2 linked regions of the Rhinolophus ferrumequinum genome follow. The protein of the gene in region 2 binds, or shares a complex with, the protein of the main gene of each other region. Links are inferred from orthologs where the notes say so. Each region holds a gene or a part of one and is shown on either strand. Other genes may lie near its edges.

Region 1 (7,260 bases), on a different chromosome or scaffold from region 2:
TGAACTTTTTAAAAGGCACATTTATCTCAGAGAGTAAATGAACCTTTGGTGTTTCACTGTTATGAGTGCTCCAATTACAAGAGTAGCAGTATTACATACTCTCTGTTCCTCTCAGAATCATATTATAACTTTGTACTCTGTCTGCTCCTTCAAAGATAAAGGGAGAGTCCAGTATAAGTCTTAATTTATACGGGGCAAACCTCTTTCCCCTATTAGGGCTTGTCAGTGTGATGCTAAAAATGGTCCTTTGGTTGACTTGTGAGTAATTGATTCTCTGACGCTGACAACGCTTAGGAAAATGAAGGTATAAATGATGGGAGCGCCACACAGCCACCGGAACAAACGCTGAGCCTAAGGTCCGTGGAACTGCAGCAGCGCCACAGAGCAGAGGGAGATCTTTCCGCCACATCTCAGGTGAGAGGGGGATGGCCCTGGGGGCTGGGCTGCATGGGACCAGGAAAGTTGACCTTCTCACCAACTCAGAGACACCAACTCAAAGAGGCCCACCGCCATTCTCTTTGCCCATGGACTGGTGAGTACATTTAGGTCCCTTGTTAGGGGCCCTGAAACATGCTTTTGATGGTTGGTGCCATTTTGAGGTCGTCTGGGATAAGTGGCAGGCAGACAGACATGTCCAGGTGTCTGTCGGAGGTGGGTGAGGTTCTCAGGTGTGTGTGGATAGGCTTCTGGGGCAAGACGTGAGCTGGCTAGATTCCCCTGTCAACAACGGGACTCGGCCATGGATCAGAAGGGAGCCACGCGGCTGTGCAAATCAATACCGTGCATTGATCGCTCAGAACCGATGCAACGTAATTGCCTGGAAATTGATACCAATTTGCTTTCTTGCTCAATTGCAGCCGCACTCCTTCCTCTGGGTTTTAGACACAATTACCTGCCCTTGGAGCACTCCATTACCCCCACACTTGTTCCCTAATCCTTGCTTTAATGCTCCTGAAGTATTTGTGTCCTTCATCATAAGACACCTCCCTACCCTTTCTGAAAGGAGGTGGGGTGTCGCTCTTCTGAGTGACTATTCAAGGTACTTCCTTGTTAAAAACTTAGATCTCCATCGACTTGCAATACGATTGGTTTGTAAAATGGATCAGGGTTCTTAAATTACAAAGCAGAATAGTTAAGAAAGGTAAGAGATTTTTGTTCCCTGAGGGCATTTGAGACCTGACCTCTGTGGTTAGCTGAAGGCAGGCACATCTGCAGAATTCTTGTGGCGTTCTTGCCATGAAGGCTGGCGAAAGGTGCCAACTGAACTAGATCAAGTGCCCATTCACCCTGAATCCAGGCTTGTAACCACTGCGGAGAGCTAACGGATGTGCATAATGATAGATAATAAACCTAAAATGCTTTGGGGACTATCACGGAGTAGTGGCTGATGTTGTTGGATTTGTGAATTCTCGCTCCTTTGAATGGTCATGTGGCATGTGTCGGGCAACAGCTATTTCATCTATTCTTATCATAGCATAAGCTGGAAACTTCTTGTTGTTTCCCATCTTTGTCCAATGGGATTTCTCAGCCCCGTGGATTGGGTTCTCACAGCCCAGAGGTGGCCGTGGTGACCTGACCCACTCCTGGGACACATGGCTTCTGGCAAATGCTGTGCCTCTTGGTTGATCAGACTATGCAGTTGCTCAGCCTCATTCTGAATGAGCAGTAGTTTCCTGGAATTACTGTGATTTCCGCCCCCCCAAAGTCTGCCCTCTTGCCAGGTTATTTTTCAACTCCTTAAAACCATTGCGTGTGCACAGGGGTGCACCCACCAAGCAGGTGTTCCTGTTTGTCCCCCTTTTTCCTTCTTCAGAGACCCAATGACAAAACACAAAAGCGTTCAGTTTTATCGGGCCCATTTCCCACGTGTAGGTGATGAGTTCTGAAGGGCCCCATGAACGAGGAGCACTATGAATAGGGTATTGTATCAGGAAGGCTGCTGCGGAGAACAGGAGGTCTGCTGGCCTGGGGATTTTGAGGCCCATTCTGAAGGGCCCTTTCTGAAACTAATTTGATGGAGGACTATGGAAAAAGGCCCTTTTCCTCTCTGGGCTTGTTTCCTCAGCTATAAAATGAAGATGGTGATGCCTGCTCTGGAATGTGAGTGTGAGGGTGGGCTGTGTGGGCCAGGAGGGCACAGGGGCTGGGAATCGATTCTGCCAGCCCTGGGACAGGGGCAGGAGGTGGGGAGGCTGAGGGAGGGCTTAGGCCAAGAGCAGGGGTGTGGGCTTCGCTCTGGAGAAAGTGAGGGGGTGGGGCAAGGGCTTCTGAGCAGAAGAGTGGGGTGAGTAGGGGCCTGGATATGCCCAGGTCTCTAAAAGATCAGCCTCCAAGAAGGCGAGAAAGCCCAGGCTGCAGCTGGGAGACTGAAAAAGCAGTGGTTGTGTCAAGGGGCCCTACTTGCCTCCAAAGATCTCCCTGCTTAGGAAACTCTGGCCTTGGACCAGATCAGGAAAGGGGGAGCCACACGTGTTATGGTATGATGAGCACCGAAGGCTACAGATCCTTGGTCTGGGGACCAAAGGCCTAAGTCTGAGGCAAAACACATCTAAAGGGCGTGTCATGTGGATGAAAGTGCAGAAGCTCTGGATGGATGTCAAAGGGGCAGCCCTCAGGGGCAGATGCCACGTTCTCATCTTTTGTCTAGCCCCAGTCCTTACCAGAAGAGTGAAAACTTAACAAGTATTTGCAGGATAAGGGGACATGGACTTGACACGATGAGAAAAACCTCCTAACAAGAAGAGATGGCTGGAAGTAGGACAGACTGGCTCGGAGATAGTGAATTCCCTCTCACTCACTGGCAGCAAATACTTGAGCAGGAACTGGAGGATTAGGTTGGGGTGGGGGTGGGGAGTGGGGCTCATCAAGAAAAGGCTGATGGTGGAGGCCTAAACAGCTGCTCCCTCCAGCTCTGGAGGTGCCGTGGTCTCAGGCCACATCGAGCCGTCCCCGTGGATATTCCCTTGAGTCTCAAGGTATCCCTGGGTTAGTCAGGACCTGGTGTCTGGGCGAAGGGGAATGATGCTGTGAGAAGGCAGGTGAGCCCAGGAAGGAAAACGGGTTTCTTCCAGTGCGGGCCCTGCCTGCCAGAAACCACTGCTCAGCAGGACCAGGGAGGAAACGGAGCCATGGTGGGGTGATCAGGGGAAAGGGGCTGCCTGGGCCTCTGGATGGTCTTTATCCCCGTGGCGTGGATAACCTGCTGAGAGAGGGGGTACCATGGGAGATGGGAAGACCCAATTCCTGGGTAGCTGAGTCACACTAGGGCAAGTCTGGGTTGACAGTGGAGGCACCACTCCAGCTGAGGTGGGTTCTTCCCCTCCCTGTTGCCTGTTCTTCCTCTAATTGCAGAGCACGGTGTCAGCAGGCCCCAATTAAGGGTAATTACGTGATCTATGAGATAATTTTGCGTGGCTCCCCAGGCTCCTGGGTCTCTTCCAGGGCTCAGATTGTTTGGTGAAATCTAAGCGTCTGGAGCAAGATTTATAGCCTTCGCTTCCCTCCAACTCCACCCAAAACCAAAACAGCACATGCCGATATTACTATCTGAGCAGGTTTAATATTAAATCATCACAGCAAAAGTTTATGGAGAAATTCCCATGGGCCAGGCTACTCACTTCAGGTGCCTCATTTCATCGCATGCTTACAAGGACCCTATGCAGTAGGTATAGTTATCGACTCCATTTTGTGAATAGGGAAACTGAGGCCCAGGAAGGAGAAGCCACTTGTCCTGGGATACACAGCTAATGATGGCAGAGCTCGGATATGAACTCAGATTAGTCTGACTTGGAGCCTGAGCTGTCAGTCCCGATCGCTATGTCAATGTCACACTGTGGGGTGGGGGGTGACGTAGGGGACTAAAGGAAGGTGCTTGCATCTGCTTTATCCCTTGCTGAGGCCTGAATTCCATATTTAATGCCTTAAAGGAAGGGGCAGTTTCACCATTATCTTTAATTTTCTCTTCAACCCTATCAGGTCAGCAAGGGAGCTTTATCATGCCCATTTTACAGATGGAGAAAATGAGGTCAGAACTCATGACTGGCAGAGGCTAAACTTGAACTCAGGTCTGTCTGACTTCCAGAGTCTGGGTTCTTTTTCCTAACCTACAGCTTCCAAAAGACAAGGACCAAGGCTTGCTTGGAGCCAAGCCCAGGGCTGGGCACAGCCAGCAAAGGACATCCCCGTGGCTATGGCTACATCTGACCTTCCCTCCTGTCATTTTCCAGGTGCCACCACAGGGGTGAAAAATGCTGCTCTGGGTGTTCTTGCTCATGATCCTCACCCTCAGCAGCGGCTCCCACTGCTCCCCACCCTCCTTGCCCCTCAGGTAAGCAGTCCTGCCAACAAGACCTGGATTCCTGCCACCCCAAAGCCATCCCTGCTGGTGGGCGGGTGCAGAACTGAGCCATCAGCTGGCCCCAGCCATCCCCTCAGGCAGCCCGTACTGCCCATCTCTGGGAGGGGGGCACTCTGAGCTCCAGAGAGGTCACCCTTGGGTCCCACCCCCTCTGGGGATGAACAGGGTAAAGGGCAACAGGTGACTGGTGACTGCAGCCTGTCTGTTCCCTTGCCCGAGTGTGCCATGCTGCCCGTTGACTTCTGACTCCTCCCACGTAGGATGCCCCGGTATGCCGATGCCATCTTCACCAATGGCTACCGGAAGGTGCTGGGCCAGCTGTCTGCCCGCAAGCTGCTCCAGGACCTCATGAGCAGGCAGCAGGGGTAAGCAGGAGTTCCTGTGATTCCTTCCATACCCCACGTGCACCAAGTTTTATCTCTTCCCTTGCACAGCACCTGTCATTTCTGGGCTTGCCATAGCAGAAGGGCCCCAATGTCAAACTTTAGCTTACCTCTCACTATTCAATGGCCATTGAACACCTACTATGTGCTTCTCTCTATTCTGGGCTCCAGTGGGAACCATGCCAATGGTAGTTAGTACTGGGTCACAACTCAGAAACAAAGGCTCTGCACTGAGCCATTTACATACACTTGGCACAGCGCTGAGCACCCAGTAAGGCCTTGTTAGTATTAGCCGTTGTCCTTCATTTCTTGTTTGCTCTTTCTAACCACCTTCCAAAGTAGGAACTCTTACCCACTTCGTCCAGAGCCATTAATAGCTTCTAAAGGACACACACCAAAGAGTGGCAGCGCCGGGATCCAAACAGCCTGACTCCACATTTTTCAGGTTTTATTTTGAAAAAATTCCAAATTGATAGAGAAATTGCAGCAATAGTACAAAGGACTTCTATGTACCCTTCCCTATATTCAGTAATTCCTAACATTTTTATCGTATTTGCTTGCTCTATAACTTAGATGTATATCTACACATACACAAACACATGTACACCTGTATTACTACGGTTATTATTAACATTGATATTATTTTGCTGAACCACTTGAGAGTAAATTGCAGTCCTCGTGACCCCTTACCCTTCTTCTGTGGGTGTCTCCTAATACCCAATGAAAGGACATTCTCTTACTTAATCACAGTACAATTATCCTTTAGAGTCCACACTCAAAATTTACCAGTTGACCTAAAATATCCTCTATAACGATTATTTCTTTTCCTGACCCAGGATCCAATCCAGGATCCTGAGTGGCATTTCGCTGTCATGTCTCCTTAGTTTCCTTTCCTCTGGAACAGTGCCTTCATCTTCCAGGCCACTGACATTTTTGTTTAGTGAAGGCCAATTGTTTATGGAACGCCCCTCATGTTGGATTTGCCTGATGCTTCCTCATGGCTAGATTCAGGTTATGCCACAGGAGTGACGTTGTGTCCCTCTCAGTGTCTCGTATCAGCAGGCACATGATGTCAATTTGTCCCATTATTGGTGATGGTAACTTTGATCATTTGGTTGACACAGTGTCTGCTAGTTTTCTCCTCTATAAAGTTAATATGTTTCCCTTTGTAATGAATAAGTAAACGTGTGTTTCATAGCCCATGCTCTTCACTGCTATATAGACTGCCTTCCTAAATTGCTGCCAAATCTGATTCAGTTGGCTGGCAGCATTCATACCAGATCCTGGAATCGGTGTACGGACACACCCTGCTCTGCTCACTTTGTCTTGGTCTTTCCCAGGCCTCTCCACCTCAGCTACCCAAATACGAGCCTCAGCTGTTTCTCTTTTTCTAATCAAATAGAGAAAGAAACCAGGAGCAAAGAGCAAAGGTAAGGGCTGGCCGTCAGGCGGAGAGCATGTGGGCAGACCAAAAGCAGATGGCATTGGAGAGCATCCTGGTGGCCCTGCCACAGAAGCAGAGGTAGGAATACGTGCATGTGTGTGTATACATATGTGTATGTGTGTACACGTGTGCATGGGTGTGCACCTAGGGAGCTCAGAGGTTTCCTCCCACGAGGGTCAGCAGGAAAAGGAAAGACTCTCCCCTCCAAAGGCGTGGGGCTCTGCCAAGCAAACTGGAAACGAAGTTCGTCCTTACACACATCAAGAACTGGAGGAAGAGGAGAAAACGTGTGATAACAATTGTATCTTATCCATTACTGTATCTCCAGTGTGTTGCAAGAGGCCAGGCTCAGCGTCTGTGTCCAAAAACATGACTGACTCAATAGTTCTGGGAGAGGACCCAGGAACCTGAATTTTAACACATATCCCAGGGGATGAATGATCTGAGAAGCATGCCCTGGATCCCTTGCCAAGTTCACGAAACTATAAAACCAAAGACCAGCCCCACCCAACACCCTCAGAAAGATGTGTGTGGAGCACTCATGAGGGGGAGAGATGAGAATGACAGTCATTCCCCATCTTTCTGCCCCTCACTTTCCCACTGGAAGTCATGGAAGATCAGGAATGAGTTTTCCCATCTTACAGAGGAGGAAAACTGAGGCAAAGAAGGGGCAGCAGTTGCCCCTAAGTCAGGGACTGGCAGGCCCAAGACCTGCTCTGCTTCCCTGGAGCGCCTGCCCAGAAAGCCCTGCTTCACAGACAAAGTTTCCCCAAAATGACACGACTGTTTGGTGAAACTCTGCTATATTTTTGAGGCCAATTTTCAACTGTGAGTACAAACATGTCCCAGCTTGACTCTGCCAGGCATTTCTGGACCTATTAAGCAAATCCACTTCCCAACAGAGCTCTCTCCGTGTGCTCCCTCACCCTCTTCCCAACCTAATTAGACACCAAGAGCTCAGAGATCTCTCCCCAACTACAGTCCTGTGGAGATACAAGCAGTGGCAGGCGACAGGCAGGCTGCAGGAGGGGTGAGAACCAGGCTGCAAGGGAGGCAGAATGCACACCTGGGCTCCA
Region 2 (7,211 bases):
TTGCTGGGAAGGGTGGAGATGGAGAAAGTCTCAGCTACTGAGCATGAGGGAAAGGGAGGCTTCACAGTCTACCCGGTGAGGCTCTCTGTTCTACCCTGAAACTGCCCATCTGAGGCTGGGGTGTCCGTGGGGGCCATGGCAAGCTCCTTCCATGGCCTGAAGTGTTTGTTTTCAGCCTGTCCTCCGCCTAACCTCCTGGTGACAGGGAGGGCGGTGACAGGGAGTGAGACGCTTCACTCCCACTGTTGCTCTGGGGTTGGGGAGAGGCAGCAGCAGAAACTCCGCATCCCTGGGGAATGACAGGAGCTCAGGAGGAAACTGGGCTTGTTTACTGACATCCAACTTGCTCACCACGACGTCCCCAAAGAAAGGGGACAGCCGGCAACAACCACAGGGAAAAGCTCTTTCCATGACCAAGTGTTTGGCTCAATCAAAGTCCAGCCTGGACCCTGAAGGTGGAGATGTGGGGCGCAGGCCGAGGGACGGGAGCAGGGGCCCAGCTCCCCTGAGGGACACAGGTAATCCGAGCCCCTGTCTGACTCAGTCTTTTCACCTGAAAAAATGGTCAGATTCATGCTTTACCAGGCTGAGGGGAAAGAAATATAAGATTATGGGCATGGAAGCAAGCCCTGCTCAGTTTGGAGGTGTGGGGCGTGCCGGCTTATTCGGGGTCACTGCGACCACTTCTGAGCAGCAGTTTCTCTCACTTGCCTACACCACAGCCATACACACTGCTCCACAGACAGGAAGAGAGGGAAGGAGCTGGCCCAGGAGCGCGGGGAACATATATTTCCCTGGAACCACCCCAAACTCTCTGCCCTGGAGATGAGGGCACAGAGAGGGGATGCCAAGGAGATGGTCTCCAGCACATCCCCCGGCCTGCCCTCTGCCTTCCCTCCCGCCAAGCAACGCTCCCACCTATCACCCTTGAACAGATTAGCAAAAGTCTCTCTTCCAGACACTGCCATCTTCTGGAAATCTGCTGCAGTTGATATTCCAACCTGCTGCTACAACGGAATGGGCTTGCCCTACAGTTGTGAGGTGCACCCCACCCCCCAAACACCTCCATGGCCACCCTTCCTGCAAGACGCCTGGAGCCTCTTACCGTCCTCGGTCAGCAGTTCCAAGGGCACAGGGCAGGCCACAGAGTAAGGTGGGAAGGGCTCAGACCAGCCTGCGATCGTGCAATCCCGCTGCACAGCCCCTGGGAGGCAAGTGGAGGTGGGGGGGAGCAGAGGTCTGGTCACAGCCCCTGCCCTCTCCCCAGAAGGGATGGGAGCCATGGGCCATGAGTGACCCTGGCAGGCTGCGCAGACAGCCCCTCCAGGCGGCAGAGAGAGAGGAGCCTTCTCTGTAGACGCCTGGGTTCCAGGTCCAGCCTGCCTGGGACACGTTCTGAAGCCTTTCTCTCTGGCCTCAGAATCACCATCTTTAAAGGGAGAGGACCATTCCTTTGAGAGGCAGAGTAGTGAGTTGGGCCCCCAGCATCCTAACAGCCGGGGGGAGAAAGGAGGCCCCCCTGCTCCTGGAGGGACTGTCCAGCGCAGCTTCCCAGGCCAGGGAGGGAGGCAGAGCGATGCCTTCCCTCCTCCCACGAGGCAGCTGGTAGTATCTTCGCGGTCAGACAGGCTCTGCCCCGCTCCACCCCACAGCCAGCCCTCCTGTTACCATCCAGGGAACACGTACTTGGTGCCAGGCCGTGGGTCCAGCACTTCTGCTGGCTCACTAATCCTCCCGCCTATGCAGTGAATGAGCTTGTTCCCCCCAGGTCACAGGTCAGAAAGCTGCGTTTCACTGACTTGCCCAAGGTCACACCCAAAGAGAGGACATTGTTGAAACCCAGGTCTGCCTCCCCCCACCCCCCAAGCCAGGGTTGTATCTGCCCACATCCCGGCATCACCAGACGAAATCACCTCCCCTGCCCACCCACCACCACACCCCAAACCCTCACCTGGCTCTGAGCTGAAGTGAGAGAAGAAATCCGGGCAGGGGAGAGTCACCCCCTCACCAGAGTCTGCCATCGGCCAGCACAGCAGCCCATCCCAGGTCCTGGGCAGCCTGGATACAGAGATGGGGAGCAGTGCAGACTCAGCCTGGGAGACAGGCCCGTCCAACATCCTAAGAGATGAGCCTGGAAGAGATAAAGGAACCCAAGGAGCCAGCTCCTCCCTCCCAAGCCCCGTACCCAGGGTGGCGTTGGGTACCCCCTCTGCTGCCGGCAGACACGCACTCTCATCCTCCCTCAACTGGGTGATGAAGTCACACTCTGGGTGCACGTGGCCCAAGACCTGCAGAAAAGTTAACAGGTGAGCCAAGCCCGTTGAGTGTTCCTTCTGAGTTCTCTGGCCCAAATGACCTGAGGACAGAGACAAAGCCGGATTTGTTTCTGTGTGCCTGCTGGTAAGCACAGGGCCTGGCTCACGGCACTGACCCGTGGGCTTGATGGAAGGAGGGAGGGAGGAAGGGAGGGAGGGAAGAAAGGAGGGAGGGAGGAAGAAAAGATGGAGGTCAGATGGAAGTTTCCCTTTTTCATCTCTTGGAAGTAAGTTCTAAGACACATTAAACAAAAGTCTTCAGAAGATCTCATGGGAGAAAGAGAGGAAGGGAAGGGAAGGGAAGGAGAGGGAAGGAAAGAGGAAGGAAGGGGAAGGGAGGGGAGGGGAGGGGAGGGAAAGAAGGGGAAGGAGAGGGCAGGGAAAGGGAGAGGAGGGAAGGGATGGGGAAGGGAGGGAAGAGCCATGGGATTTAGGAGTTCTCCAAGCCACAGCCTGCCACCTTCTTGGTAGGGAGACTCCTGCTCTGGGAAGGGCAGTGAGGATCCCAGCAAGCTCCAGCTGGACCCCCGTATAGCCCGTAACTCCCAGATCTGGAGCCTAGTGAGAGGCAGGAGGGTCTGAGCTGGCTACTCACAATTGGTAATGAGCTCAGAAAGCAGAGGCTGCAGGCACCCCGTGCCCTGCTGTCCATGGTGGGGGTCAGCAGTGGCTCCCTCAGTCAGCTCACTGAGCCCCAGCTTTCTTCTCTCTCCTTCCTAGGTGGTTGTTTGCATAGGCAGGAGCCAGCAAAGGGGACAGAACTGGCTGAATATTCACCAGGATTGCAGGACGCTGTGCACAGCTCAGGCCCTGTCCTGGCGTGGGACTCCATGTCCCCAGCAGGGAGGGGCTAAGTCCCCCTACTTCCATCCTCTCTGTCAGTCAGCCTGTTTGTCTATCCTGATAGTGGGGGCCCCGGGAGGTGACAGCCCCAGGACACTTCTTGCCCCAGTAGGTCATATTCTTAACCATTTTCTTCTCTAAGCTCAGCCCCTGCTGGTCCACACTGGAGGGAGCCCCTCAAAATGAACGTGGCTCAGAGAAGAAGACTGAGACCTGGGCCCGTCCTCAGGGAGCCCCCGGTTTGGTTGGTGAGCTTCAGCCTTGTCCCAGGGCTATAGAGGATGGGCTCAGGGCTGTGGGGACCCAGCGGGAGTGGGTATGGGTGTCAGTGGGGGCTGGGATTTGGAGAATGAGCCTAGGAGGAAGCATGGTTACAGGGCAACCAGCGTGGGCTGGCCAGAAGGTGTCATCAGCAGGACATCATTTCTTTCCCTCACAAGGGACAGCAGCCTGGATGGCGAGGTGAAGTGTGCAGATAGCTCGGCTCTGGCTTGGGGTTGGGGGGGGGGGAGCTGACTCTCCAGAAGTCCTGGGGGAAAACAGGGGAAATTGAGGCTCAACAGAGGCTTTCAAGGGGATTCATGGCGCTGGCCATTCTGAATGGAGCAAGAAAACTGTTATCTGTTGTCACGAGCAAAAACAGGAGAACTTTCACAGCCACTCAAATCGTTTTCAACATTCGTTACCCGATCATTTTTGTTGCAGTTTTAGACTTTAAAACGCGGACAGCGTTCTACGTTACCCTGGATCTTGTCCAGCATGTTGAGATTCAAAAGCACATTTTAAGCTGCCAGCACCTGGGAGGTCCTGGCAGTTGGAAGCAGGTCTGCATGTCCCAGAGCTGGCTGGACTGGACACCAGTGACACCAGACATGTTTACAGCTGATGCAAATCATGAATGATGAAGGATATCATCGCCCCTGCCACGTCTGGATTAAGGATAAAACATCAACAGGGTTGTATCTTTGCATTTGTATTCATCAGCAACAAGGTGTTGGAGAAAAACATATTGAAAAGAAAACATGAACCAGCCCAAAGCCCAGACCCCCCTGCCCTCCCACAGGTGGTGGCATGTGCTCCCTGGGGCACAGTGTGAGCAGCCGGTACACGGACTGAGTGCAGTGTTTTTCAGGGTTGGAAACGCGCTCCTCCGTGGCACACCGAGTGAGGATTTGCAGGTTGGGACAGCAGAGCCGAGTAGGTGACTTAGAGGGAAAGCTAGATACACCCTCTGCCCTGCCCTTCAGGTAGAAAGAAGCAACAGCCCAAGGACAAATATGACCACTAATCACTGTGGATAATTAGTGTCCGTGTCATTAGCATTAATGATGGTTAATCATTGATATTGATACTTAATAATAATTGTTTTCTACATTAGTGGTTCTTTTTTGTTTACCCTTCTTCCGCTTCCACCCCCTCACCTCTGAGTTCAAGCCATTGTTTCTCAGTCTAGCTCCCTGGCCCATGCTGGTATTATGAGCCTTGTGCTCCCCCGTCAGTGGACACAGACCTTCAGCTGTTCTCCACAGCCCAGCTCCAGAGAGCTGTTGTTCACAGTCTTAGCTGTAGAGGGCGCAGCTCACTGGCCCATGCGGGAATCGAACCAGCGACCTCGGCAAGCACGGCTCTCCAACCACCTAAGCCACCAGGCCAGCCCTAAATTAGTGGTTCTTAAGAGGAAACAATGTGTCCCCCAGGGAATGTTTGGCAATGCCTAGAGATAGTTTTCATTATCACAGCCAGAGGTCAAGGGTGGGGAGCAGGCGTGTCAAGGTGTTACTTCTGTATAATAGACAGAAACCAGGGATGCTGTTAAACATCCTACAGTGCACAGGATGTCCCCCCGCACCCACAGAATGAACTGTCCAGTTCATAAGATCAATAGAACGAAAGCTGAGACACACTGATCTAACCGTTCCTGTCCCCCAAGGATTCCTGCAGGCCCACTGTCCCTTCTCAGTAGGCCAGGGTCACTGAGTCCCATCTCTGTCTATCTCTGTATCTACTCAGAGTTCAAATTCTGCCTCCACCGCTTGCTAGCTATGTGACCTTTCTGAGCCTCAGTTTCTCCACCTGAAAAATGGGGGGTGATACCTTCCTTGCAGGGTTGATGGGATAATTAGTCAAGGAACAGCATATAACGTACCTCATAGAGAATTTAGCTCATAGTGGACAATCACTGATGGTAGCACGTAATAAGGATGGATTATCAGCAAATAAAGTTAGAACAATCAATTCTTTGTATAGAAAAAATTAGATTTGATCTCTAGCTTGCATTTACAAAATATAAATTTCTATAAGGTTTAAAGCCCTAACTGTAAAACAACAAACTAATAGATTTTTCCCCAATAATAGAAATTTGCTTCTATAACCTTAGAATAAAGGAGATTTTCTCTATAAAAAATAAAAACCATAAGAAAAGATTACTTACGTTTGATCCCATCAACATTTTTAAAAAATGTATTTTCAAGAAAGAACAACACAGGTAAAACTATAAGCAAGGTACAGACTGAAAGAAATATTGGCAATAGTGACAAAGAAGACATAACATCAAAAAAATATTTTTTAAAAAATATCTACAAATTAATAATAAAAATAGAAATAATCCAATAGAAAAGTGAGCAAAGGATATAAACAGGCAATAAGTAAAATATAGGACCAATAACAGAAAATGATGTTCAACATTACTAATACTCAAAAAATAGGAAATAAAAATAATAAGCTACCCTTTCTCACCTATCACATTGCCTAAAATTTTAATGTCTGATACTATGATGTTTGGAAAATAAGGTAGGGAAATAGTATTTTTATACTGTTAAGATGGGGGTAAACCTGGGTACACCTACTTTGAAAAGCAATTTGATATTATCTGTTGAACCTATCAATGAACATGCCTTACAAACCAGAAGTTCCGCTTCTGGATATTTGCCCCAGAGGGCAGCATTGTTTATAACATGTAGCAAAAACAGAAACACAAATGTCCAACAATAATAGATAAGTAAAATGTGATATAGTCATACAATGAAATACTACAGGGCATTAAAAGATGAATGAAGTTGATTTACATCGACATGGAGAGATTTCAAAAAAATGTATTGGAGAAACTTCTGCTTCCAGCCAAGATAGCATAACAGGGAATGATTGACCTTCTTCCTGCGTAACCTCAAGAAATCCAAACAAAATACTCAAAATATTGGGTTTTAATAGGTGAAGCAAAAAAGTACATATGATCATCTCCATTGATGCAGAAAAAGCATTTGACAAAAATCTAACACTCTTTCAAGATAAAAATACTCAATATGCTTAGAATAGAGAGAGTTTCTCTAACATGACAAAGGTCATATATGAAAAATCACAGTGACCATCACACTCAGTGATGAAAAACCGAAAGTGTTTTCCCTAAGATGATGAACAAGACAGGCTGTCTGGTTTCTCCAGTTCTTTTCAACGCAGTCCTACCGTAGAAGTCCTAGCCAGAATAACCAGGCAAGAAAAAGAAAATAAAACTCATCCAAATTAGTATATGTGCTGCCGAAACGAGCACAGAAACTCATCCAAATTAGAAAGAAAAAAAGAAAATTATTTCTGTTTGCTGATGACACGCTATGAATATCCTAAAGAATACACACATGTTTTATGTTGAATATTATATGTCAATTATATATTGAATATCCTAAAGAATACACACATGTGCGCACACACACACTTTCAAATACATTGGAGTAAACTTAACCAAGGAGGTAAAAGACTTTTACATAAAACCATAAAATATTATTGAAAGAAATTAAAGATCTAAAGAAAGGGAAAGATATCTTGTGTTCATGAATTGGAAAACTTAATATTGTTAACATGATAATACTGCCCAAACTGATAAACAGATTCAGTACAAATCCTATGAAAAATCCCAACGGAATATTTTTAAGAATTAAAAAAATCCATACTAAAATTCATATGGCATTTCAAGTTTCCCTGAAAGGTCAAAACAGTCTTGAAAAAACAAAGTTACAACCCTCACAATACTTGATTTCAAAACTTACTACAAAGCTACCATAA

Evidence for each region.
Region 1: the proteins of GHRHR (region 2) and GHRH are in contact, whole or in part, in a cryo-EM structure (PDB 7CZ5), measured with the Homo sapiens proteins. The link is inferred for Rhinolophus ferrumequinum from reciprocal best matches to the Homo sapiens genes GHRHR and GHRH. Residues at the interface, in NP_000814.2 of Homo sapiens: Leu119, Ala120, Glu122, Glu123, Phe126, Ser127, Val129, Lys130, Tyr133, Val179, Lys182, Leu186, Phe187, Asp190, Thr192, Asp193, His194, Cys195, Phe197, His210, Thr213, Phe217, Ala271, Cys272, Asp274, Leu275, Asp276, Trp282, Ile285, Ile289; in NP_066567.1 of Homo sapiens: Tyr32, Ala33, Asp34, Ala35, Ile36, Phe37, Thr38, Asn39, Ser40, Tyr41, Arg42, Val44, Leu45, Gly46, Gln47, Leu48, Ser49, Ala50, Leu53.

Annotation. Positions count from the first base shown.
Region 1 is NC_046306.1:18,664,187-18,671,446, forward strand, and holds the start of GHRH (somatoliberin), read left to right. Parts: upstream 1-4,247; coding exon 4,248-4,327; intron 4,328-4,617; coding exon 4,618-4,722; intron 4,723-6,142; coding exon 6,143-6,259; coding exon of another isoform or gene 6,260-6,262; intron 6,263-7,260. UniProt on the Homo sapiens protein: GRF is released by the hypothalamus and acts on the adenohypophyse to stimulate the secretion of growth hormone.
Region 2 is NC_046303.1:11,587,685-11,594,895, forward strand, and holds the start of GHRHR (growth hormone-releasing hormone receptor), read right to left. Parts: upstream 3,010-7,211; 5' UTR 2,968-3,009; coding exon 2,911-2,967; intron 2,289-2,910; coding exon 2,179-2,288; intron 2,059-2,178; coding exon 1,952-2,058; intron 1,205-1,951; coding exon 1,109-1,204; intron 6-1,108; coding exon 1-5.